7 linked regions of the Macaca mulatta genome follow. The protein of the gene in region 1 interacts with the protein of each later gene in a biochemical or structural test. Links are inferred from orthologs where the notes say so. Each region holds a gene or a part of one and is shown in the gene's direction. Other genes may lie near its edges. The genes, in order: CDK1, H1-1, PBK, CDC25C, CREB1, RGCC and USP16.

Region 1 (4,061 bases):
TTTGTTTATTTTAAAAAGATTTTAGAATGGTGTTTAGGTTGGGCTGGTGGCTCACACCTGTAATCCCAGCACTTTGGGAGGCCAAGGCAGGAGGATTGCTGGAGCCTAGGAGTTGGAGACCAGCTAGAGCAACATAAGGAGACACCGTCTCTGCAAACAAACAGGCAAAAAAAAAAAAAAAAAAAAAAAAAAAAAAAAAAGTAAGAAAGAGAGAAAGAAGGAAAGAACAAGAAAAAAATTAACTGCATTAAATGCAGAAATCTGTCTTAAGGATATTGTGGATGGCAATGAAGACAGAGTTTTTGACACTGGATTATTTAAAGCATAATTTAAACCTCTTTTTCTCCCCTCATAGAATTGTGAATTTTTGTGTTTTAATAATATTTAAGCTGGTCATGGTGGCGGGTGCCTGTAGTCACAGCTACGCTGGAGGCTGAGGCTGATTGCTTGAGCCCAGGAGTTGGAGGCCAGCATGCATAGCATAATGAAACCCAGGCTCTAAATACATGCCTCTCTCTATATATTTAAAATTCTGATGTGAAAATATTTTAAAATTTACATTTCAAATGTTTTTAATTGCATAATACACAAAATGTAAATAATAAAATAATTTAATATTAAATTCAAAAATGAGGTAGAAACAAAGCACAGCGATATAAATAATAAATCTTCCTTTACAGTTTTGAGACAGTCTTTTAAGTTTTCCATTACCTTCTTAAGGTCACTGAAAGGTGCTCCTTGGAGCCAGCCCGCAAATCACGCATTTAGAAAAACATAACTATACACTCCTAACCCTAAGTATTAGAAGTGAAAGTAATGGAATCTCGATGTAAACCCAATATCACTTTTTTGATGAGCTATTTTGAGGATAATAATTTTGAACTGTGCCAATGCTCAGAGAAAAAATTTAAAAGAAGAACGGAGCGAACAGTAGTTTCCTGCTCCGCTGACTAGAAACAGTAGGACGACACTCTCCCGGCTGGAGGAGAGCGCTTGCGCTCGCACTCAGTTGGCGCCCGCCCTCCTGCTTTTTCTCTAGCCGCCCTTTCCTCTTTCTTTCGCGCTCTAGACACCCGGGAAGGCCAGCCTAGCGTAGCTGGGCTCTGATTGGCTGCTTTGAAAGTCTACGTTCTACCCGATTGGTGGATCCGGGGTCCTTTAGCGCGGTGAGTTTGAAACTGCTCGCACTTGGCTTCAAAGCTGGCTCTTGGAAGTTGAGCGGAGAGTTACGCGGTTGTGGTAGCTGCCGCTGCGGCCGCCGCGGGATAATAAGCCGGGTACAGTGGCTGGGGTCAGGGTCGTGTCTAGCGGATGGCCCGGGGACCTCGAAGGGCGAGTATTGAAGAACGGGGTCCTCCTCTAAGAAGGCCGGACTGGAGAGCAGGGACCTGCGCGGAGCCAGGCTGGGCCTCGGGGTGGGGTGGGCAGGGCCTTTGCCTGGGCCTGGGCGTGTGAACCACACTGCGCCGGCTTTAGAGGGAGGCTATGGGAGCCCAGCCTGGCGGGGTTAGGCGGCGTGGGGGTGGGGGTGGGGGTTCGGGGCTGCAGTCGTGAGTTCAGGTCGGCTGTTTAGGAACTGCCTTAGGAGGCTTTCGGGTCTTGATTGAAGCAAAATCCGCTCCCCCACACTGAGCGCCAGCGGAGTGGCAGGCTCCTTCCTGGGCCCGGCCCCTGAGCGCCCTCCCATCCCGCCTCGGAGGTGGGAAAGCGGGACCGCACCTGGGCCAGGTACAGGCGCAGATTCCTAAAGCGAGGCTGCCCTGAGAAACCGATCCCGGAACTCGTGGGCCTTCTGGGGCTTGCTCTGCCCACGGCCCCGGCCCACCTGGAGCTGTTAAGAACACTCAGCCCAGGCACTTAACACTCATGAGCAGTGTAGTGCAGTTTTTTTCATTTAAAAAGATATATCTCTGCTTCTTTCTGGATTGATTTTTTTCTTTGAAGATGAATGTGGGAAATAGAACTTAAAGGTCTGTTCAGAGCGGGCTTTATAAATGATCTTATCATCAGTGATGGGTGTTAGAAAAATCTAGGTAATTATGCCTGGAGTTCTGACGTTTCATTGACAAACTTCAGAGGAAGTCTTGAACTTCTGGTTGTTTTTTGTTTTTTTTTTAAACCCATTCATTGTGATTCAGGTATACAGTTTTTCTGCTTAGTCCTTGACATTGTGTAGGCTATAATTAGAATTTTATCTGTGGAATTGCACTTTTCATTCTTTTGTTTTAGGGTGCTTAAGTGATATTTCCGACTCTTGGAAAAAGTACCTTGAAAGTCTTGAGCATGTTTGTGACCTCTGCAAGCAGAGGAAAAAAAGATTAAAATTGTCACGTGGGCAACTGGAAACGCTTAAAATGTTTTTGCCGCTTTAAACAAAATTTTCCTAATGAACAATCTGAACACATTTTAGTTCTCCCCTTATAACTATAAAAAATAGTGTTTTGAATAAAATTAGAAATATCATAAAGCGGTATAAATTTGTTGAAATATTTGGGTATAACTTTGGCACACTCAGATACTAGTGTCACAACAAGGGAACATAATTCTGGTTTTTCTTTGGAAAGAATAGACAAGTTGATATCTGAATTTGAGGGTTATTTTGATTGGAAGAAGCTAAATAAATACTACACTAGTATAGAATATACACGTTTCCAATGTCTCAGGAGTCCAGAAGGATGGAAAGTTATTGTAGGAGTCCTTACCCTTGTAAATATTGTTTGAATGTAGTTAATATTTATGGAATACTTATGTACTGCAGTAGGCACAGTGGAAAATGCTTTACATATAGTGTAATGCTAAAAACTACTCAAGTTAGTGGCATGTAATTAAGTCAGTTTTTCCTTCATTTTAGGATCTGCCATACCCATTGACTAACTATGGAAGATTATACCAAAATAGAGAAAATTGGAGAAGGTGAGTGGTTTTAGTAATATAAATTTTTGGGGATGATTTAACAATGCTACAACTTCTGTAATATGAACACATGTAAATATTTATTAAAATTCAACCATTAAGATGTCTTGTAGTACCAGTGTGCATTAATATATGTTCTTTACTTAATAAACGCAAATTTGTTCACATTTCAAGAGAATTGAAATTACTGAATCCCTAATGACCCATCCCTTCACCCCCATAGTCTTACAGTCTTCTGATACTAAAGAAGTATCAGAAATACTTGTATTTTGAAGACACTATTGATGACTTGCACATGTGTTGAGGGGCAGAGGTTAGGGATGCAGAATTATGCTAATTTCATAGTCTATTTTTAGTCTCTTTCAATTATTTTTAGGATGATAAATATTCTTATCCAGCCTTTATAGACTGGTTACAATAATTGACTTAATCTAATTTAAATAAAATTTCTATTTAGTTACCGTAAGAAAAAAATGACCTGTCATATGTACATGTTTAAGCTATTCTAAAACTATAACTTACGTATATAATCATTCCCTTTCTGTGGTACTTGAAGGAATGATCAGATCTATATATGGCACAAATGAGGGGTATATCCCTTCGCCTGTTCCTTGACTCCAACAGAACATTCTCAATTCTCCAGGTACAAAATAATTTGCTAGTAGAATCCAGTTTATATCGGTTCTGCCAGAAGGAAATTCACAACTATATTTTTAATGTGATCAAAGACCTCACTTGACAAGAAATAGTAAAAAAACAAGGGGGGAATACTGGAGGGAATTTAGTGAAATAGGAATGACAAGTTAGTGTGGTGTTCGATTGGAGGGGTGTGTGTGTGTATTTATTTTTATTTTTAAACAAATTAAATACCTCATACCCATTCTACTAAACACATTTTGCTGCTGAATTAAAAATAATGTGATTAGTATGTCTAATGCTTTGTAGTATGTTTCTTAAATTCCCAGGGAATTTGTGTTGATTTCAGTTTGGCATAAAAAGAGACCTTCTTAAAGTATAAATATATTTTTCTTTAAGATGATAGAACTCCAAACCTATAGGAAACTACAGATTTGACTTCTGAGAAAAGTACTTTAATTGCTACCATAAATAAGAGCAGTTAAGAATGTAATTTTAAATGTAATCCATTA
Region 2 (2,552 bases), on another chromosome or scaffold:
TTTTAAGAAATTACGTGAAATATTTGAATGCGTGGCTTCTCAATAAAATAGACGTAGGAAACACTGGTAAAGAAGATGGGTACAATAGTTATCTGGGACTACTACAATTATTTGGTTGACACGTTGTTTGAAGAAAAAGGGAAAAAGCTCAGGTTACTTAGCACAGTTCGGACTTATTTAAAAACTACAACAGCACGAACGGAAATAGACCGCATTCCCTCACTCTCCGCTGTGTTAGGGGGTTATCCAGAATAGGATTGTAGAAGTGGATGTCGATTTAATAGTTTTTTTTGTTCTCCCGTTAGCTGAGTCTCTGATTGGCAATGTGAGATCGTTTTAGCTTATTGATAATTTGAAATGCTCTTAACAGCCACAAACAAGCTAAAGAGAGGTTACCATAAAATCTTATCCCCAGGGTGTGCTTACACTTACCGTTTGTTTTCACACTAAGGAGACTTAACTCCCCAGCAGAATGCCTGTCGGGGAACCAGTTTCTTGGACCCAGCATTTAACGCCTTTCGCAGGTTTGTGAGGCCCATAAATCTTTGTTGAATAAAACAATGAGTTCACCATGTCATGGTGCTCTCATTGCATGTGCTGACATGGAACACAGGTTGTAAACCTTAACACCCATTTGGGGCATGTTGTATGGATGAAAAGGGCATTGGAAATTCCTGAAGTGCATCCCACATTGGACTGTGGAAGTAAGTTACAAGTGCAGAAACGTTTCCACACTTGCAGTTTGAGTATTAATTGCAGCGTTAGTGAATTCTGGTGTTGTCTACGATTCATTCTTCTTTGACGTGAAAGGTATTCGCGAGACACATCGCTCTAAAACATTGCCAGAAAATGTAATCGAGTTGATGACTACTAGCCCTAACACGGCCTAAAACCCGCACTTTCCTCTTCCTCCCCAACTATTCAAACACTGTATTTTACATTTCTTGCAAATTAAAAACTAACATATCTGGCAACGGACCTCTAAAACTTTCTAATAAAACTCCCTGGATGCTTGTGGGGCTGCATTTGCAAACCGCTCCCCATCAACCTACTCCCTAAAACAGAGCTGCTTTTTGAGAGACAAGCGGCACCCTCTGATGTTACTAGGTGGCAGTCGGCCTACAATTTCCTTCACAATGAGGCAATCGGAGCGGCTTTTTCGGTGTGTTTGCTTGCGTTGAGGGGAGCGGGACCATAGGCCCTAGAGGCCCCCAGGTGCTCTCTGAGACTGGGGGAAACCCTCTGCAGAGCGCAGGGGGCGCTAGGGTGCGAGGGGCGGGCACTGACGGGCACCAATCACTGCGCAGTCCCACCCTATAAATAGGCTGAGTCGGGGCCTTTTTTTTCTCGCATCCTGCTTGGTCAGGTTTATACCAGTTTACTTGGTGTGCTGTATTAGTCACCATGTCCGAAACGGCGCCTCCCGCTCCCGCCGCTTCTGCTGCTCCTGAGAAACCTTCAGCTAGCAGGAAGGCAAAGAAACCTGCTAAGGTTGCGGTGGCCACTAAGAAAAAGCCTGCTGGCCCTTCCGTGTCAGAGCTGATCGTGCAGGCTGCTTCCTCCTCTAAGGAGCGTGGTGGTGTGTCGTTGGCTGCTCTTAAAAAGGCGCTGGCGGCCGCAGGCTACGATGTGGAGAAGAACAACAGCCGCATTAAGCTGGGTATTAAGAGCCTGGTAAGCAAGGGAACGTTGGTGCAGACGAAGGGCACCGGCGCCTCGGGTTCCTTCAAACTCAACAAGAAGGCATCCTCCGTGGAAACCAAGCCCGGCGCTTCAAGGGTGGCTGCAAAAACCAAGGCAACGGGTGCGTCTAAAAAGCCCAAAAAGGCCACGGGGGTTAGCAAAAAGAACGTCAAGACTCCAAAAAATGCTAAAAAGTCTGCGGCAACAAGGAAATCCTCTAAGAGTCCCAAAAAACCCAAAGCTGTAAAACCCAAGAAAGTAGCTAAAAGCCCTGCTAAAACTAAGGCTATAAAACCCAAGGCGGCCAAGGCTAAGGTGACGAAGCCAAAGACTGCCAAACCCAAGAAAGCGGCACCCAAGAAAAAGTAAATTCGGTTGGAAACTTTACTAACCCAACGGCTCTTTTAAGAGCCACCTACACACTTCGGGAAAAGAGCTGTAGTACACAGATGAAATTCCCCCAAGCAAATGCAATACGCCCTCATTTATATTAGAATCACTTGGAGAGTCAATAGGAACTTTAACATAGGTTGAGTAGTAAATTCTTGCCAGATGAGGCTATCAAAGATAGCAAGGTGAATTCAAATGCACCGAGTTAAAGTCGAATTTTAGATCACCTGTTTTGCTTTTTTTTTTTTTTTTTTTTAAGTAGCCCGAAGTCCCGCATCTCACGACCCCAAGCTAATTAGTCATAACTGTAACGAACCAAGGTTGAAGCCTAGTCCCAGGCTTGAGGCTTTTTTATTATGCAAGGTTAAAGTGCGGACATTGCGTTCTTGGGTCAATATTGCTAAAGTAGCCTTTTCCGAAATTGGGTGGTCCTAAGAAATGCTTCTGGGATAGTAAGCAAAATTCATGGCTTAATCACG
Region 3 (4,105 bases), on another chromosome or scaffold:
ATTTCCAAAGTGTAGAACAGTGCACTGTTAGAGCACATAGTATGTGCTCAGTGTGTGCATATTGATTGAGTGAATGAAGAGTAGCTTCACACAGGTAGATAGAAATCTTAGAGAAAGCTGGGTACGGTGGCTCACGCCTATAATCCCAGCACTTTGGGAGGCTGAGGCAGGTGGATCACCTAAGGGTCAGGCGTTTGAGACCAGCCTGATCAACATGGTGAAACCCCGTCTCTACTAAATACAAAAAATTAGCTGGGCATGGTGGTACATGCCTGTAATCCCAGCTACTTGAGAGGCTAAAGCAGGAGAATTGCTTGAACCTGGGAGGCAGAGGTTGCAGTGAGCCGAGATTGCACCATTTCACTCCAGCCTGGGCAACAAGAGTGAAACTGTCTCCAAAAAAAAAAAAAAAAAAAAAAAGTCTTAGAAGATCTTTGAGGTGCCACATCACAGCGTCCTGTGGGGAAAGATAACACAGATGGAAGAAGGGGAGTCAGAATGACATGGGGAAATTATTTCCGAAGTAGAAATACCTCCTGCAACCACTCTGCTAAATAGTTTATCCTTCCCCAAAGTTCTGAAACTGGTTTTGAAGTAGAAATACCTCCTGCAACCACTCTGCTAAATAGTTTATCCTTCCCCAAAGTTCTGAAACTGGTTTTGAAGTAGAAATACCTCCTGCAACCACTCTGCTAAATAGTTTATCCTTCCCCAAAGTTCTGAAACTGGTTTCAGAAATTCTGCTGTCCTGCCTTCAAGTTAAATGCATCACTTCATAAAATTATTATATTCTTGACAAATACATGTAAAGGGGCTCTTCAGTGTTCTCAGTACAGGTAAATCTAAAGACAGTAGTGATTGTAGCTACATTTTAAACAAGATGAACAAACTTGTCATTAATAGACAGTTAAAGCTAGGCCTTTGAGATGATTTTCTTCCCCTTACTATGCAGTTTTTAAAGATGCTATTATTAAGGGCTCCATAAAAAATTTAAGCAAATCCCCCTTCTTCCCAACTTTTTATATAGATAAATGAGCTTATAGACATGTAGGAACAGTTTTGCTTTATAATAAATAAATCTAATAGGAAACCTGATTTTTTAAAAAGAAATATAATTTTTAAAATAAAAAAATTCTTAAATATGTTATAGAAGGAAGAAACACATTGAGTTGCTTTGTTTATATATGTGGTATGTACATTTTCTTTTCTTTCGTTCTTTTTTTTTTTTTGAGATGGAATCTCGCTCTGTTGCCCAGGCTGGAGTGCAGTGGCGTGATCTTGGCAAACTGCAACCTCCACCTTCCAGGTTCAAGCGATTCTCCTGCCTCAGCCTCCCAAGTAGCTGGGATGACAGGTACAGGCCACCATGCCCGGCTAATTTTTTTGTATTTTTAGTAGAGACGAGGTTTCGCCATGTTGGCTAGGCTGGTTTCGAACTCCTGACCTCAACTGATCCGCCTGCCTTGGCCTCCCAAAGTGCTGGGATTACAGGTGTGAGCCACCATACCCGGCCTCATTTTATTTTCACAGACAATTTTTATAACCATTTATTGAGATAATTGATGTATCATAAAAATGCATCTTTTGAAAGTGTAAAATTCAGTAGTTTCTAGTATACTCAGAGATTAATATATCAAACCATTATCTGGTTTTAGAACCTTTTCATCACCCCAGAAAGAATCCCCATACCCACTGGCAGTCATTCCACATTCTTTGTCTCCCCACCCCTAGCAACTATTCAGCTATTTTTGGTCTCCATGATTTGCCTGTTCTGGACATTTCCTAAAAATGGGATCATTGGATGGGCACGGTGGCTTATGCCTGTAATCCCAGCACTTTGGGAGGCCCAGGTGGGTGGATCACAAGGTCAGGAGTTCAAGACCAGCCTGGCCAATATGGTGAAACTCCATCTCTACCAAAAATATAAAAATTAGCCAGGCGTGGTGGTGGGTGCCGGTAGTCCCAGATACTCAGGAGGCTGAGGCAGGAGAATCGCTTGAACCTGGGAGGCAGAGGTTGCAGCGAGTCTAGATCACGCCACTGCACTACAGTCTGGGTGACAGAGCCAGACTTGGTCTCAAGAAAAAAAAAAATGGTATCATCATATATGTAGCCTTTATGTGTCTGGCTTCTTTAGTATAATGTTTTCAAGGTTCATTCTTGTATATATTGGCACTTTATTCCTTTTTATGACTGAATATTCCATTGTATAGCTATGTCACATATTTTGTTTATCCATTCATCATCTGATGGAGAGTTCTGTTGTTTCTGCCTTTTGACTGTTATGAAAAATGCTGCTTGCACAGTTTCCTTAAAGGATATAAGAGACCTGTTAACAACTACTCCTGGGAAGTGTGAGAGGGAGACATACTGATTACCTTGTTGTACTAGGTGATTTTTTTTTTTTTTTAGCTAAGTGCATATATTACTTTATAATTAAAAATACCCAATCACTAATATTATGACAGGGGTAACTAATTATACTTTTTGGTTTTAGTTTCCTCATTTTAAGTAAAATTGGACGAAATGTTTGTTGAGGTCTTTTTTAGTTCTCAAATTTTGTTTGTGATAAAATGAGTGATAATGTTATAGGCATTTTTTTTTGTTTGTGTTTTTTTTTTTTTGGTGAGACAGAGTTTCACTCTTATTGCCCAGGCTGGAATGCAATGGCACGAACTTGGCTCACCGCAACCCCTACCTCCCGGGTTCAAGCGATTCTCTCCTGCCTCAGCCTCCCGAGCAGCTGGGATTACAGGCATGCGCCACCACGCTTGGCTGATTTTGTATTTTTAGTAGAGACAGGGTTTCTCCATATTGGTCAGGCTGATCTCGAACTCCCAACCTCAGATGATCCACTCACCTCAGCCTCCCAAAGTGCCGGGATTACAGGCATGAGCCACTGTGCCCAGCTATAGGCATTTTTCTTCATGAATGAGAGTTGTATTCTTTGTATCTGCTGTGTAACTTACAATTTGTTTTCATCATAGGACTGAGAGTGGTTGTCACAATGGAAGGGATCAGTAATTTCAAGACACCATGCAAATTATCAGAAAAAAAGAAATCTGGTAAGATAGCAGATGTAAGACTTTTTTTTTTTTTTTACTATTACTATTGTTGTTTCTCTTAGAAATGTCCTAGTAATATTTAGTTTGATTCTTTATTATCGGTCACTTAGAAACTTTAGCGTAAATCCCCTTTATGATGTTAATATTAACAAATAAGACATTTTATAGGTCAGGGTTTGATCATATCTGGACTAATTTTATTGACAATCTAACAGGTTTGGAGGCTCTCCCTGCTCAATAATCAACTTAGCTTGACCCATTAAAGAACTGCTTTACCTTTCTCCCTCTCATCCATACATCGCTCTTATGAGGGAAAGATATTTTCCAAGGCAACTCAATGGACAAAGGACAATCTTTTCAACAAACACCTGGATATCCATGTGCAAAAAATAAGCCTTGACCCTTAACTCCCATTATATAAAAAATAGCTAAAGTTAAATTTCTAGAAAATAACATGAGAAAATATTCTGTTGTCCATTTCTAGTGACAGATTTTTCATATTGACCTTGTATCCTGCAACCATCCTAAACTCACTTATTCCATTAGCTTTTTAATAGATTGCTTAGGATATTGTATATGGTTGGTCATTTGTGGATAAATAAAGACAGTTTTACTTTGTTCCCCAGTCTGTATGGCTTTGTTTCTTTTACTTTTTTTTAATTGCACTGCCTTCAGTATGTTTTTGAATAGAAACGTTAGTGGATAATACTTGCCTTGTTCCCAGTGTATTATGTTAGATGTAGGTTTTTCACAAATGCCCTTTATTAGTTTGAGGAAGTTTTCTTCTATTTCTAGTTATTATCGTGAGTGGGTATTGAACTTTGTAGAGCGCTTTTTCTGAATCTATTACATTTCCTTTTAAAATCTCTTAATGTGGTAAATTATGTTAATTTTCAAGTGTTAAACTGACCATTCCTTGTGTAAAGCCAGTTTGGTTACGATATATTTTATGTATTGCTTGATTTGCTCATATTGTCTATATTCATGAGGGATATTGGACTGCAGTTGTCTTTTTGGGATATCTGTCTAGTTTTAGTATT
Region 4 (3,500 bases), on another chromosome or scaffold:
CGAGACTGCGTCTCAAAGAAAAAGAAATACATTGTCATTTAATTCTTATATGTTTTATATAAAATATTCCAAAAGGAATGTTTCATAAGTTAACCTTCCAGAATTCTAATTTCAGATTTTCTGAGTGATAATCTTTCTTTTCTACTCATAAAAAAAAAAAAAAAAAACTCCGTAGGTAGCAAAGTACAGTGTTTCCCAGCACTACTTCTTTTAGTGACACATAAAACCTTAAGTTTCTGTGAAATTGTACCTTGTACTATGAAATGGGTATCAATCGAGAGGCTTTGTATTCAAAAGCTCAGTCCTTGAAATTAATATGGCTTACTGGTAATGAAGAAAATCTGAAGGAAAAACAAGATGCATGGACAAAAATAACTCCTTTTACTGATTTTTTATATTTGATTGCAGGTCACCTGGATTCTTCAGGACTTCAGGAAGTGCATTTAGCTGGGATGTAAGTTCTGTTGCTAAATGAACCCCATGCAAAAGCTTTTTAGCACTGGTCATAGAGATTTTATCCTGTGCGGACTCTGCAGAGTGCAAAACCTTTCATATTGGGTATAAGTGGGCTTTGAGGCCTAGTTCCTTACCTTGAACAGTTTCTAAGGTTTCCAGATCTAAATAGTGTTGTGAAAATGAAGGCTATTCATTTTAACTGTCATAATCAGAAGTATCTATAAGGAAATGAAGGAAAATGGTATACTACACTTATATAGGCTTTTATTTGAATGTGAAAAGTGCTGTATCTTAGTAATTCAAAGTACAGAGTGGCCAGGCGCGGTGGCTTACATCTGTAGTAATCCCAGCACTTTGGTAGGCCAAGGCAGGCGGATCAGATGAGGTCAGGAGTTCAAGACCAGCCTGCCCATCATGCAGAAACCCCGTCTCTATTAAAAATACAAAAATTAGCCGGGTGGGGTGGCACATGCCTGTAATCGCAGCTACTTGGGAGGTTGAGGTAGGAGAATTGCTTGAGCCCGGGAGGCGGAGGTTGCAGTGAGCAGAGACCGCACCACTGCCCTCCAGCCTGGGCGACAGAGCGAGACTGCGTGTTGAAAAGAAAAAAGAAAGTACAGAGTGTAGGCTCTGGAATCAGTGTCTGGATTCCTGGCTTACTACTTCATTCACCAGTTGTGACTCTGCTTTAGACCTTAATTTTTTTTATTTGTAACATGGAGACAATAATAGCACTTGTCATAAAGTAGCTATTGTAAGGATTAAATAAACTGTGTATCTAACACATACCAAGCATTTTATTTATGTATTTATTTTTATTTTTGAGATGGAGTCTGGCTCTGTTGCCAAGGATTGAGTGCAGTGGCGCCATCTTGACTCACTGCAACCTCTGCCTCCCTGGGTTCAAGCGATTTAAGCGATTCTCCTGCCTCAGCTTCCTGAGTAGCTGGGATTACAGGCATCCACCACCATGCCTGGCTAATGTTTGTATTTTTAGTAGAGATGAGGCTTCACCATGTTGGCCAGGCTGCTCTTGAACTCCTGACCTCAAGTGATCAGCAACCCCCTCGGCCTCCCAAAGTGCTGGGATTACAGATGGGAGTCACCTGGCCCCGCCTGAATTGCTTTAAATGCTCTAACCCAGATAGATAATGAAATCCACAGAGGGAGGATAGAAATTTATATATAGATATGTTTTTTGTTTGTTTTGTTTGTTTTGTTTTTGGAGATGGAGTCTCACTCTGTTGCCAGAATGGAGTGCAGTGGCCTGATCTCAGCTCACTGCAACCTCCGCCGCCCAGGTTCAAGCGATTCTCTCACTTCAGCCTCCCGAGTAGCTGGGACTACAAGCACACGCCACGATGCCCAGCTAATTTTTGTATTTTTATTTTATTTTTTTATTTATTTTTATTTTTTTTTGAGACAGAGTCTCGCTCTGCCGCCCAGGCTGGAGTGCAGTGGCGTGATCTTGGCTCATGCAAGCTCCGCCTCCCGGGTTCATGCCATTCTCCTGCCTCAGCCTCCCGAGTAGCTGGGACTACAGGCGCCCGCCACCTCGCCCGGCTAGTTTTTTTGTATTTTTTAGTAGAGACGGGGTTTCACCGTGTCAGCCAGGATGGTCTCGATCTCCTGACCTCGTGATCCGCCTGTCTCGGCCTCCCAAAGTGCTGGGATTACAGGCTTGAGCCACCGCGCCCGGCCAATTTTTGTATTTTTAATAGAGACGGGGTTTCACCATGTTGGTCAGGATTGTCTCGATCTCTTGACCTCGTGATCTGCCCGCCTCGGCCTCCCAAAGTGCTGGGATTACAAGCATGAGCCCCCACGCCGGGCTTTTTTTTTTTTTTCTTCCAGACGGAGTTTTGCTCTTGTTGCCCAGGCTTGAGTGCAGTGGCGCGATCTCGGTTCACCACAACCTCCCCCTCCCGGATTCAAGAGATTCTCCTGCCTCAGGCTCCCGAGTAGCTGAGATTACAGGTATGCGCCACCACGCCCAGCTAATTTTGTATTTTCAGTAGAGAGACGGGTTTCTCTGTGTTGGTCAGGCTGGTCGCGAACTCCCAACCTCAGGTGATCCGTCCGCCTCAGCCTCCCAAAGTGCTGGGATTACAGGTGTGAGCCACCCCGCCCGGCCAGAAATTAAATTTTTTTAAAAAATTAGCCCTGGCCGGCACGGTGGCTCACGCCTGTAATCCCAGCACTTTGGGAGGCTGAGGCGGGCGGATCACAAGGTCAGGAGATTGAGACCATCCTGGCTAACATGGTGAAACCCCGTCTCTACTAAAAATACAAAAAATTAGCTGGGCGTGGTGGCGGGCGCCTGTAGTCCCAGCTACTCAGGAGGCTGAGGCAGGAGAATGGCGTGAACCTGGGAGGCGGCGCTTGCAGTGAGCTGAGATCCTGCCACTGCACTCCAGCCTGGGTGACAGAACCAGACTGTCTCAAAAAAAAAAAAAAAAAAAAAAAATTAGCCCCAATACACTGTGCTGGAAAATTAGTAAATTGTATAAAACTCGTTCATCTTTGGTACATGTTTATTTATATGGTTATACAGGCAAAATGAGGGTCTTATCCCCAAGATATCACTTGAGTCTTCATATTTACCACAGAGAATACCCTATGTATTGTTGTTGGAAGAGACATATCAACTGGGAATAGGGCTCCTAGAATGAAATTTTAAAAATGTTGGGATGCACCAAATCCACTGAAGAATAATCAAACAGTATTTGGGGCTAACCTGACAGGCAGTTTGTTTTAATCTGCAGGAATCATCACCAGCACCTAATGAAATGTAGCCCAGTGAGTAGCCTCTCTTTTTTGGGTTTGGGTTTGCTTTTCAGGTGGGAGACAGAGGGTTTCCATTGCACCTGTGACTTGATGCGGGACGTTCTCAGCAAACTCTTTTTTAGGCACAGCTTCTCTGTAGCACTCCGAATGGTTTGGACCGTGGCCATAGAAAGAGAGATGCAATGTGTAGCTTATCTGCAAATAAAGAAAATGTGAGTGTTTAATGGAAACCTAGATATATTGGCAGTTTTATTTTT
Region 5 (3,500 bases), on another chromosome or scaffold:
TGACTCGGGTGAGTTACTACTTTGTATCTTAGTTCTTCCATCTATGGAATGCATATAATAGTATAGTACCAAAATTTTTATTCACTTTATTACTTTTCAGTCTAGGGATTCTTCTCAGAAATGCATAGTTCTTTACCTTGAATTTTTACTTAAACATGATTATAGAATGCTAACTTTGAAACATGTTAGGAGTTTTTCCTAACTTGCTAGGAACAACTGTCAGGGATGTGATGATGGATCGCCAGTCTTACTGTATAACTGTAAATATATTCATAAGTGTTTATAAAGTTAAAGAATAATATTTGTATAGTCACTATATAGACTTAGTACCAAATATTTAGCCATCCATTTTATCCCTTATATCAGAAACCTTATTTTAGTTGGTAGTTTTGTTCCAACAGATGTAAGAAAAAACTGATAAGTAATACTGATGCATTCAGGATTGATTACATGGAGTCCTGAAAAAAAATTAAACTGTAGCTATTTTAGGTTCTCTAACTTCATCTTAGTTTATAGGGTAAGTAAAGGGAAGGGGAGAGTGATTGGTATGGTTGTCTCCCATAAGAACTGATTTTTTTCTACTGAAGCATGTATAAAGTTTATATATGACTTTTTGTATTTGACTGTTTAACAAAAATTTTATAGGAACTAAATTTGATTATCAAGATAAAGTTTTTATTTATTTTCAGATTTCAACTATTGCAGAAAGTGAAGATTCACAGGAGTCAGTGGATAGTGTAACTGATTCCCAAAAGCGAAGGGAAATTCTTTCAAGGAGGCCTTCTTACAGGTATGGATTTTAATAGTTAGAATCTAAGATGTGTAGGAAGTCTTAGGTAGTTGCAGATAAAGAGATGTCAGAAGACCAGTTAGTTGCTCAGGTCAGTTCTTTATAGATTACTTTTCTTCATCTTGAGTTATTTGTCTCAAATAAAGTGAAGCTTATCCTACAGAATAAGAAGAGCACTTGTTACTCTCACCAGTCCTGATTTTTTTTTTTTTTTCTGTTTCTGTAGACTGTGCTGGCTGTCTTTCTGTTGAAAAATGTGGAATACATTTAATAAGGTTATAGCATTTTTTAGTTATAAGCCAACTCTGAGGCTCCGTTATTTATCTGCTTAATAACACATTGCAAACCATTTTTTATGCCATGGTGTTTAACAGATAGCTATTAATTTGATAATTGTCTCAGGAAGATGCTTTACTAACATCCCCTAATTTTAGGGGTAGTTTACTGTAATTTTTGTGTTCAGTTATTGTTGTTGCCTAGTCCATGCCTTGCCTCCAAGGTGAACCAAAACCGTTTTTTAGTGTAAAAATTAGCTCCACATTAAGTATCCCAGGAAGGACAGTTCCATAAATCTTGACACGTTTACTTGAGCATTTAAGAAACTTCAGACTCATAATTATCTTCCTTCTTGTTAGTGTAAATTATTTTTATTTTTATATATTTCTGTTTTTCAAAGGGGTAGTTTTTTCCCCCCGCTTGGCTATTAAACTAACCCCTTTCTCTGTCCTTACAATTAAATTAAGAATCCTAAGTGACTCACAATAAATTGATTTTGAGGTCTAAGAAATCTTATATTACCAGTATATGTTATATGTATTTATATTCATAATTTATTTTAAGTACAGCTAGTGTTAGATTTTAACTTTGAAGTGTATCTCATGTTAGTATATAACACATTTGATCCTGAAGCAAATCCAACCAAATACTACTAGTAAAGTAATTACCTAGGTAAATATAAAAGCCAGGATTATTATAGTTTTGGTTTGTAACTCCTTTTTTCCTATGTGATTTGAAAGACAAAGGCATAAAACAGTAACTATAAATTTATGTGAATAAGCACATGATATAGGAAGATGTCATTTTTTATAATAGCATAAAGGGACAGAGTTTATAACTATTTTGTTACAAATTTAAGATATCAAAAATTACTTGGGTTGGGGTTTTTAGGGGGTTTTTTCCCCGCCTTTCAGTGTGATTATGTTGTTCACTTGAAATATGGTATGGTTCTTCTGTTTTGGGGTTCCATTTTAGAGTTTCTCCACTCATCCTTGTCGCTTTTTTTTTCCTAGTGAGTGAAACATTTAACACTGTACCAAAAGTCAGAATTGCACAAAAAAGTATACTCAGTAGTGCCTCCCCATTCCTTCTGTCGTTTTCATTTCTTTCCTACCCATCCCCAGTAAATAGCTAAAATCATTACTTTCTGGTTTATCCATCCCGATTTTTTCTCTTGAACAAATGAGCAGGTACATGTACATTTTCTTATTTCCCTTTTTTCCTTACACAAAAGATATGCTATATCCATTATTTGGATGTACCATAGTTTATTCAACCACTCGCCTATATATAGGCATATAGAGTGTTTCCAGTATTTATTTTCCTTTTTATTTTTTTTTTTTCTATTTTAGACTTTGGATATATATCTCCACTATTCTGCAGTTACAAACAGTGCTAATGGAAATAATCTTAAGCGAGTTTATTTTCATATTGTTGGAATTGGGGTGAATTCCTGGAAATGGGATTGAGGCATGAACACCTATATTTCCTTAAATTTCACCAATTCCTTATATCGGGGTTGTGCCAGTTTCATACTCCCAGCAGCAATGTATGAGAGTGTGGGGGTTTTTTTGTAGCTTTGCTAACAGATATTGTTAAACTTTTTTGTTTCCCAATCTGAAAAGTGAGAATTTAAAAATCAGGTTTTGATCTTTTTTCCCCCTTAATTGATTGTTGACTTTTTACTTTCCGACTGTGTGTGTGTGTTCTTTGAGATGCAAAAGATTTTTTTTAATGTAGTCAGTCTTATTATTACCCTTAATTGCACCCTTCCTTACGTTGATATTAAAGAGAATCCATCTTTTTTTTTTTTTGTACTTACTTGGGTTCATTTTGACGTCTAGATCAATCCCTGACCCATGAAGAGTTTATTCATGTAATTTATATATTTTAAACTTCTGCTGGCTGGGTGCAGTGTCTCACACCTGTAATCTCAGCACTTTGGGAGGCCAAGGCAGAGGCGAGCAGATCACCTGAGGTCAGGAGTTCGAGACCAGCCTGGCCAACATGGTGAAACCCTGTCTCTACTAAAAATACCAAAAAAATTAGCCAGGCGTGGTAGCAGGCACCTGTAATCCCAGCTACTCGGGAGGCTGTTGTGGGAGAATTGCTTGAACCCGGGAGGTGGGGGTTGCAGTGAGCCAAAATCGTGCCACTGCACTCCAGTCTGGGCAACAGAGCAAGGCTCTGTCTCAAAAAAAAAAAAAAAAACAAAAAAAAACAAAAACCTTCTGTCCTAAGCACTACCAGCTTTCTGTCAGTTTTCTCATCTTTAACTATTATTTGTATTTATCCAGTAAATTTTACTTATATTTTTAATTATTCTAGTTTTCTAATTTTGTAGGAAAATTTTGAATGACTTATCTTCTGATGCACCAGGAGTGCCAAGAATTGAAGAAGAGAAGTCGGAAGAGGAGACCTCAGCACCTGCCAT
Region 6 (4,075 bases), on another chromosome or scaffold:
AGCCCCATGGCCTCAGCTCCCAGATTGGCTGCTGGTCTGTTAGCTCAGGGCATCACCAGTGGGTACCAAGGGCAGGTCGAAGAGAATGAGGGATGGAGAGAGAGAAAAAAAGAATGTAAAAGGGGATAAAGAAAAAGGGAAGGAAAAGACAAAATGAAAGCTGCAGATGCCTTGCCCTGTTGCTTCCAGGACCTGGGTTCTCTGCTTTCTTTCTTTCTCCTCTTGGCTGCCCAGCTGTCCACCTTGCAGGAACTCAGAGCTTCCCCCTGTGGAAGGAGGAGGGGGTAGTGAGGCCGAAAGTGTCTCTCAAACAACACAGACCTGCCTTTCTACCACTAAGTGACTGACCAGCTACTTACCCTCTCTGCGTCTCAGTTTTCCCGCTGGCAAAACAGGGGCAATAATTTCACCGCTCAGGGCTGCTGCCAGGAGCTGGAAACTGCGCACACCAAGTCCTGACGCCTCAGAGGCCCTCGACCAGCGGCGTAAGATGCCTCCTTCCCTCTGAGTCTGTGGGTCAGAGCCCTCGCAGCGCTGCCCGACAGAACTTCCTGCCGTGAAGGCTGCTGAGCGCTCAAAACGTCTCTAGTGCTAAGGAGAGGTTGAGTGTTTCATTACGTTGCATGTTAATTGCTCTACATTTAATTAGCCGTCTGCGGCGAGAGACTAGCGCTTAGCTCAGCGCAGAGTCCAGGGCAGGGACTGCCCCCGCAGGCCGCGGGGCAGGGTGGCTCGTTACTCGGTGGACACTGCAAGGCGCCCGGTTCGCGCTGCGTGGACGCAGTAGTTTCTTCCCATAATAACCCCCTTCTGGATAAAGTCAGGCTGGCGGGAGCGTCCTGGACCGTAGTTCAAGCCCCCGCGCTCCGCGGTGGGAACAGTTCAGGACTCCCCCAACTTCTGCTCCTTTCGCCCCCGACCGTCTCCACTCCGCCCGCCCACCATCTCGGAAGTCCCCTTGGGACAATGCGGAGGGGACCTCCGCGTCCCCGACACCCAATTGGGCCACGGCCGCGGGCTCCTTCGTCCCTCGCCGCCAGCCAGGGAGGCTCTGCATGCCCACGTCCACTGCACAGCCGAGGAAACTGCGACTCGCGGAGGTGCCCGGCACGCGGCGGGAAGCAGCGGAGCTCGCGCCCAGCAGTCAGCTCTGGTGACGCCGAGGACACCGCGTGGGCCGGGTTGTCAGGGCGCGCGGGCGACAGGCGGGTAAATATTTGGGGCTGTAACCCGGGCTTCGGCGACTCCTCGTCACTGCGGTTCCAGGAGGGGCGCGTGGCGAGGGCGGTGCCTGGGGGCAGGGGCCTCCTCGGAGGGCGGTGGAGACAGACCCGTCGCCTCGGCTCCGCAGCCCCGCCCCGGCCCCGCCTCCGCCCGACCGCCAGCGGCTATAAGATCTAGGAGCCGGGGCCGGCCGGAGGGCTGGCGCGGATCGTGCTGGGAGCGGCGCGGCGGGAGCGCAGCGCCGAAGGGACTGGCAGGGCGGGAGTGTGCGGGACAGCGAGCCCCGGAATAGCCCAGGCTGCCACCTCGCAGGACCCAAGGCCACGCACGCCGGGCCCCGCTGAGCCGCCTCATGAAGCCGCCCGCGGCGCAGGGCAGTCCCGCGGCCGCCGCGGCCGCAGGTGAGTGCGGGGTCCGGGGTCCCCTTAAAGTCCCGGCTCTGCAGATGGCGGGTGAGAAAGGAGGCGCCCCCTGTCGTCCCTTTACACCCGCCACCCTTCCATCCTCCCAGGCGGGACCCTGTCCCCTGTCGTCCAGCGCGGGCGGCTGCAGCCTCCTTCCCGGCCCGGGCTGGCCCCCATGTCCCACCTTCCCGCCACCACCAGCTCCGCGCGCGCCCCGGGTTGGGGCGAGCGTGGGGAGGAGTCTGGCCGCGCCAAGTCGCTGTGTGACCCTGGGCCTGGCGGAGGCTCCGTTTTCTTGTCTGTAAAACGGACTTGGTAATAGAACGCACTTCGGGGATGGTGGAGAAGATTACCAGGTAACAGCGACTGCGTGGCTGTCACTTGACAGAGGCGCCAAGTGTCAGTTATCTTCGGGAACCGTGGAGGCCCCTCCTGGCCCTGGGAGGTGGTCTCGCTGCCCCCCTGACTTCCGTGCACTGAGTCCCCGGCCCTGCCCGCAGCCCCGGCCCTGGACTCGGCGGCCGCGGAGGACCTGTCGGACGCGCTGTGCGAGTTTGACGCGGTGCTGGCCGACTTCGCGTCGCCCTTCCACGAGCGCCACTTCCACTACGAGGAGCACCTGGAGCGCATGAAGCGGCGCAGCAGCGCCAGCGTCAGCGACAGCAGCGGCTTCAGCGACTCGGAGAGTAAGTGCGGCCCCCGCTAGGATGGCGCCGGGATCTCCCAGTTCCCAGCACCTGGCCCGCGAAGGTTGCGGCCTCAGTTTTCTTATCTGTAAACTGAGGAATGGTGTCCAGGAACCTAGTCCTGAAGCTCAAAGCAGTAGGCCGAGCAGTGGCGGGGCCCCTGACGATAATCACGGGAGGGGTCGCTGGAGGGCAGGTTGGTCCACCTGCCGTCCACAGGTGTGTCACCAGGCAGGCGAGTTTAAGCAGCTTGTCCCGACTGAGCCAGACAGGACTCCCTGGACCTGCACCAGGCCTTTCCACAGTTTCCCTCCTCTTCTCCTTTCCCGTGCCTCTCCCCTCTCCCCTGTAACTTTGCAGATGTGGAATAGGTGCCAGTGGAATGAGGGGGCACAGTGGGGACATGGGAGGGCGCTGAACGGAAATATTCATGAAACCAGGAAAGGTTTCATAAGCCCAAACGGCTGTTCCTGGGATTTATGAAGTAACTGTTTGCATTTTCTTCTGGCCCTGAGCGCTCAGACTTGTTGCTCCATCGCATGCAGTTATGAAAATCTTTGGCACTGCTGAGTTCAAGTATTTTTCAGCCAGGTCCTCCACCAGGCTGGAGGGGGAGCCAGAGAGCACAGGGGCATGAAGGTGCTTCCTGGTGACCTTTCTCACAATGGAGACTACCCCAGGGTCTCTTTGTCCTGAACAACTTTGTCAACAACACAACAACAACAACAACAAGAGACAGCTTCTCCCAGGAGCTCACATGTCCCGGGAGGATTCAAACAGCAAATTAGGTGCCTTTTTAGTATTACATGATTGTTGGTTTCAAATCCAGAATTACTTACTGTTTTTCAAAGTGCAAAGTCAATTTTAAACTCTTCTGTGTTATTCTTCAACCTTTAATCCCTAGATGGGTTACAGGCATGAATGTCACTCCTTTTGCTGCCCTTGACTCAGGACGTGAAAGTAATGGCCTTTCCTTGTGATTCTCTTATTTTGAAACCTGGAACTCTTCCTTGTTCCTGGGCTAAGATTCGGGGCTAGACTTGAATGTGAGCTGCTCTTCTGCAAAGGGATAAATGCACTCACCACCCTGGTCAGGGTTTGACTCAGAAAGCTGAGTTCCAGCTTGAGTTTCCTTGGCAGCATTGCCAGAGAGTTAGACCAAGCTGCAGCTTTTGAGGTGAAAGGGGATGGAAGAAAGTACTGTTACTTTTCCACTTAGAATTTTTGGACTTTGTTCCTAATGAACAGGTTCATTTTTAGTTTCAAAGCGAAGTGTTTACATTCTGGAAATTTGTCTCAATTCCTAAGGCCAAACTTAAATATGTCTCCTTTTACTGGGGCATGGAGCAAGTTATTCATCAAATACAGATTCTCCCATGGAAAAGAAAGCTGGGACAGTGTGTCACTGCAGCTCTGTGGCAAAGAACAGCTCCTTTCTAAGCAACAGCTTCACTCCTCTAGAATAGGTCTAAGAGTGCCCATTCATGGCTGATTGCAGCTTCCACTGAGTGGGATTTCAGATCTAGGATCTGTTTTCAGATGCCTTAAAGAGAAGGCATAGAAACACATTCTTAACAGTTGCAGGGGAGATAGTTGGGATAGTTTGTAGTTTTACTTAGGTTATATGTGTCTATTTTGTTTTCTGCTTTTGTTGTTAACTGACTAACCCGTAGTTTGGTGGTTAGAGAAGTGATGAGAAGAATATAAAGAAAGCTCAGATGACATTTGTCTTTGCTTTAAATGTGTAGTTTTTCTCTCACA
Region 7 (3,484 bases), on another chromosome or scaffold:
AAAATATTGTGTCTCTCCACAGTAATTCCACTTTTTTCTTTGATTGTAATCATTCTCAGTTATTACAGTATTTTGATTTCATCAGTCAGAATTTATGGACATTTTTATCTCGTATAAGTACTTATGAAATATCTTTGATTTTGCTTCTTACTCCACAAATTCTACAGTGTTTGTTATCTGGTCCTTCATAGAAAAAGTTTACTGATCCTTGCTTTGGATGTTTGAAATGATTTTATAGTAAACCTGAATGCTGTAGGGGTCCAAAATGATTTTCACCCTGTTAAAAATTTCTTCTTTTCTTTAGGTGAAAGGAAGCATGTTTATACCAATGCCAAAAAGCAGATGCTAATTTCTCTTGCTCCTCCTGTTCTTACTCTTCATTTAAAGAGATTTCAGCAGGTACTCCTTGTTACCCAAAATTTGTTTTAAATATGTAACACCTATTTTGTTTATTACCTATTTTATTCATTACTGTCTCAACATATTACTATGTTTCTTTGGTTTTCTGTTGTTTCTCAACTCTAATGTCAATGAAGTCAGAAAGGGAAAAAAATAGGGGCTAGGCAGAGGCGCATGTGAAGGTGGAGGCACAGTCTCCTCAGATTTCCTAGAATTCATGTTCTTCTTTTTAGTAAGATTGGCATCTTACTTTTATTTCAGGTTAAATAAAATAAAAGACTGGTGTATTACATATATCTCATGCTTAGGAATATTAGCTTATCTTTTCTGTTTTGTGTGTGGCATCTTATTTTTATGGACCCTTGATGAAAAGACAGTGGTGCCTCGGATTGTCATCATTTTGGTGACCTTGTCTTTTCTGGAAAACTTTTGCTATAGCTGTATAACTTCTAAACTGTGTTCCAGATTCCGAAAGTACTTTCAGTATCTTCAGAACGTTTTTCCCCTTGTGGTTGGTATGGGCTTGAGTAATTGGGTGGGCCTTTATTAGCAATTCACTAAGCTTGGTTCGAGCATGAGGCTGAGAGTGCATGTTTCACAGAAAAGTATTATGCTATCGCTGAGTTTTAAGCACTCAGAACCTCTGCTCTAATCTGGCATTTCTGGATGGCTGAAGCAGAAACATTGAGAATTTTCTCACAAGAACAGTTTTTTTTCTTCTTTTTGAAACAGTCTTGTTCTGTCATCCAGGCTGATATGCAATGACACGATCATGGCTCACTGAAGCTTTGACCTGGAGGGTCTCAAGCAATCCTCCCACCTCAGCCTCTATCGTAGGTGGCTACCACCATGTCCAGCTAATTTTTTAATTTTCTTGTAGAGACAGAGTCTCACTGTGTTGCTCAGGCTGGTCTCGAACTCTGGGGCTCAAGTGATCCTCCTGCCTCAGCTTCCCAAAGTGCTGGGATTACAGGCATGTGCCATCGTGCCCAGCTGGGAATAGCTTTCTTAATGTGTTGGTATGTGTTTTTTGTGTGATACATGTGCACTTAGCAAAAGCAAACCAACTTGGAACCAGTTAGTGGTCAGAAAGAATTGAGTCTCCAAAGAAAATTGAACTAGGACTTAATGTTGATATTCTTTTGGACATCAGAGGGGACTTTGGTTTACTTAACCTGTATTGCTTTTCCAGGAAAATAAGTCAATCTGTTATATTTCTCTTTTAGGCTGGCTTTAACCTACGCAAAGTTAACAAACACATAAAGTTTCCGGAAATCTTAGATTTGGCTCCTTTTTGCACCCTTAAATGTAAGGTAAGTGAAAGTGGTCTTTTTCAGGAAAGTCCTTTAAAGTCACATCATAGCTTACTTACCTAATGCTCCAGTAGCAACTCACTTAAGTATGAAGTTGATAACAATTACTGAGTAGAGTGGGTCTTTGATCATTGTACCTTTATAATTTGAAGATTAGTGATGAATCATTTTGAAGAATGGGTTATTTCAGTTAAACGTTTAGAATCCCCTTTATTATGGCACACATTGTCTTGTGAGCTGAAGGCATAAAACTAAAGGTGGGCACATCTATTAATGAATAATCTCAGTTTAATGTGGTTGAATATTAAGGCTGGTGAACATAGATCAGGGGTGGTATACACTTAACCCAGCATGTTGGTGGTTCAGGAATGGCTTTTTAAAGTAAACCGTGCCTCAACTATATTTAAAGAAGGAGTGAAAGTATGATGAATCAAGATGAAATGAGTTTTGCAGGCAGAAAGAACAGCAGGAGTAGAGGCAACAGGGTAAAATAGGATGGTGAGTGCCAGAGACTGGTAATGTATGTAGTTCTAGAGTTTACAGTACAAGGTATGGGGGAGTTGAGAAATGAAGCCAGAGAAGTGAGATAGGAATGAAGGTTTGGAGGGTTCCCATGGTGTAGAACTTGGACTTCATTAGGTATACAGTGGGGAGCCCTGAGGAGTTTAAAGCATTGGGTGGCATGGTCAGATCTGCATATGACATAGGTTACTTATTGACATATGGAGGCTGGATTTTAGGAGGGAAAGACTAGAGGTGGGGAAATGAGTTAGGTGGCTGTTGCATTAATTCAGCCAGTAGTTGATGAGGGCTTAAAGTTGGGCAGGAGATGGGGAGATAGAAAGACTACTTCAGGAGGTAGAATTAACCAGACTTAATGACTGATTGGCACTGGAAGGTGAGGCAGATGCCTTTTGTAAATGGATGCTGAGGGTGTCAGAGAAAGGGTTGAGGATGATTCCTGAGGCCTGGCTTGACGGATGGGAGTGCTGTAAATTGAGGTAGGAAATATAGGGAGAAAAGCAGGTTGAGAAAAGCAGGTAGAAAAAGGATAATAACTTGAGTGTTAGATACATTTGAGTGTCAGATATCTTTGAGAAATTAATGTGCTTAGTCTAGAAAACATTTGGATATACATATCTGAGACCTACAGCAGAGAGGTTAGGACGGGCCCAGGGCAAAGATTTAGAAATCAGTACATATGTGGTGGTTTAAAATATGAGAAGATGGGATCCCTTGTGTATAGTGTCTGAAGAGAGAAAGAGGAGATGGCCAATGACAGGACCCTCCTAAGTATCTGAGTGGAATAGGCAGGGGTAGAAAGTGAGGACGCCACAAACGATCTCAAAGAATCTCCATGTTGAAGAATTTGGGGCTGGGCGTGATGGCGCACGCCTGTAATGCCAACACTTTGGGAGGCCAAGGCAGTTGACTCACTTGAGGTCAGGAGTTCGAGACCAGCCTGGCCAACATGGTGAAACCCTGTCTCTACTGAAAATGCAAAAATTAGCCAGGCATGGTGGTGTGCACCTGTAATCCCAGCTACTCGGGAGGCTGAGGCAGGAGAATCGCTGGAACCCGGGAGGCAGAGCTGCAGTGAGCTGAGATTGCGTCACTGCACTCCTGCCTAGGTGACAGAGCAAGAAACTCTCAAAAAAAAAAAAAAAAAAAAGCTGGGCCAGTAGCTGTGAAGGGCATAATGGAAGAGGCAGCTAAGGACAATTTATAAGATTATAGTCACATTGAGGACTATGACAACGTACATGATCATA

Evidence for each region.
Region 2: of the proteins of CDK1 (region 1) and H1-1, one has a biochemical effect on the other in vitro, tested with the Homo sapiens proteins (23 studies listed by BioGRID). The link is inferred for Macaca mulatta from reciprocal best matches to the Homo sapiens genes CDK1 and H1-1.
Region 3: the proteins of CDK1 (region 1) and PBK form a complex in vitro, tested with the Homo sapiens proteins (2 studies listed by BioGRID and IntAct, with this or other methods). The link is inferred for Macaca mulatta from reciprocal best matches to the Homo sapiens genes CDK1 and PBK.
Region 4: the proteins of CDK1 (region 1) and CDC25C form a complex in vitro, tested with the Homo sapiens proteins (3 studies listed by BioGRID, with this or other methods). The link is inferred for Macaca mulatta from reciprocal best matches to the Homo sapiens genes CDK1 and CDC25C.
Region 5: of the proteins of CDK1 (region 1) and CREB1, one has a biochemical effect on the other in vitro, tested with the Homo sapiens proteins (2 studies listed by BioGRID). The link is inferred for Macaca mulatta from reciprocal best matches to the Homo sapiens genes CDK1 and CREB1.
Region 6: of the proteins of CDK1 (region 1) and RGCC, one has a biochemical effect on the other in vitro, tested with the Homo sapiens proteins (2 studies listed by BioGRID and IntAct). The link is inferred for Macaca mulatta from reciprocal best matches to the Homo sapiens genes CDK1 and RGCC.
Region 7: of the proteins of CDK1 (region 1) and USP16, one has a biochemical effect on the other in vitro, tested with the Homo sapiens proteins (3 studies listed by BioGRID). The link is inferred for Macaca mulatta from reciprocal best matches to the Homo sapiens genes CDK1 and USP16.

Annotation. Positions count from the first base shown.
Region 1 is NC_133414.1:89,039,122-89,043,182, reverse strand, and holds the start of CDK1 (cyclin-dependent kinase 1), read left to right. Parts: upstream 1-1,261; 5' UTR 1,262-1,277; intron 1,278-1,309; exon of another isoform or gene 1,310-1,332; intron 1,333-2,851; 5' UTR 2,852-2,876; coding exon 2,877-2,913; intron 2,914-4,061. UniProt on the Homo sapiens protein: Plays a key role in the control of the eukaryotic cell cycle by modulating the centrosome cycle as well as mitotic onset; promotes G2-M transition via association with multiple interphase cyclins.
Region 2 is NC_133409.1:157,091,530-157,094,081, forward strand, and holds H1-1 (histone H1.1), read left to right. Parts: upstream 1-1,404; coding exon 1,405-2,052; downstream 2,053-2,552. UniProt on the Homo sapiens protein: Histone H1 protein binds to linker DNA between nucleosomes forming the macromolecular structure known as the chromatin fiber. Histones H1 are necessary for the condensation of nucleosome chains into higher-order structured fibers.
Region 3 is NC_133413.1:29,573,026-29,577,130, reverse strand, and holds the start of PBK (lymphokine-activated killer T-cell-originated protein kinase), read left to right. Parts: upstream 1-1,305; 5' UTR 1,306-1,347; coding exon 1,348-1,354; intron 1,355-2,987; coding exon 2,988-3,065; intron 3,066-4,105. UniProt on the Homo sapiens protein: Phosphorylates MAP kinase p38. Seems to be active only in mitosis. May also play a role in the activation of lymphoid cells.
Region 4 is NC_133411.1:147,191,334-147,194,833, reverse strand, and holds part of CDC25C (M-phase inducer phosphatase 3), read left to right. Parts: intron 1-408; coding exon 409-454; intron 455-3,221; coding exon 3,222-3,255; intron 3,256-3,365; coding exon 3,366-3,455; intron 3,456-3,500. UniProt on the Homo sapiens protein: Functions as a dosage-dependent inducer in mitotic control. Tyrosine protein phosphatase required for progression of the cell cycle. When phosphorylated, highly effective in activating G2 cells into prophase.
Region 5 is NC_133417.1:112,832,371-112,835,870, forward strand, and holds part of CREB1 (cyclic AMP-responsive element-binding protein 1), read left to right. Parts: intron 1-672; exon of another isoform or gene 673-689; coding exon 690-790; intron 791-3,410; coding exon 3,411-3,500.
Region 6 is NC_133422.1:20,846,429-20,850,503, forward strand, and holds the start of RGCC (regulator of cell cycle RGCC), read left to right. Parts: upstream 1-1,275; 5' UTR 1,276-1,576; coding exon 1,577-1,625; intron 1,626-2,128; coding exon 2,129-2,314; intron 2,315-4,075. UniProt on the Homo sapiens protein: Modulates the activity of cell cycle-specific kinases. Enhances CDK1 activity. May contribute to the regulation of the cell cycle. May inhibit growth of glioma cells by promoting arrest of mitotic progression at the G2/M transition.
Region 7 is NC_133408.1:18,448,037-18,451,520, reverse strand, and holds part of USP16 (ubiquitin carboxyl-terminal hydrolase 16), read left to right. Parts: intron 1-304; coding exon 305-399; intron 400-1,625; coding exon 1,626-1,712; intron 1,713-3,484. UniProt on the Homo sapiens protein: Specifically deubiquitinates 'Lys-120' of histone H2A (H2AK119Ub), a specific tag for epigenetic transcriptional repression, thereby acting as a coactivator.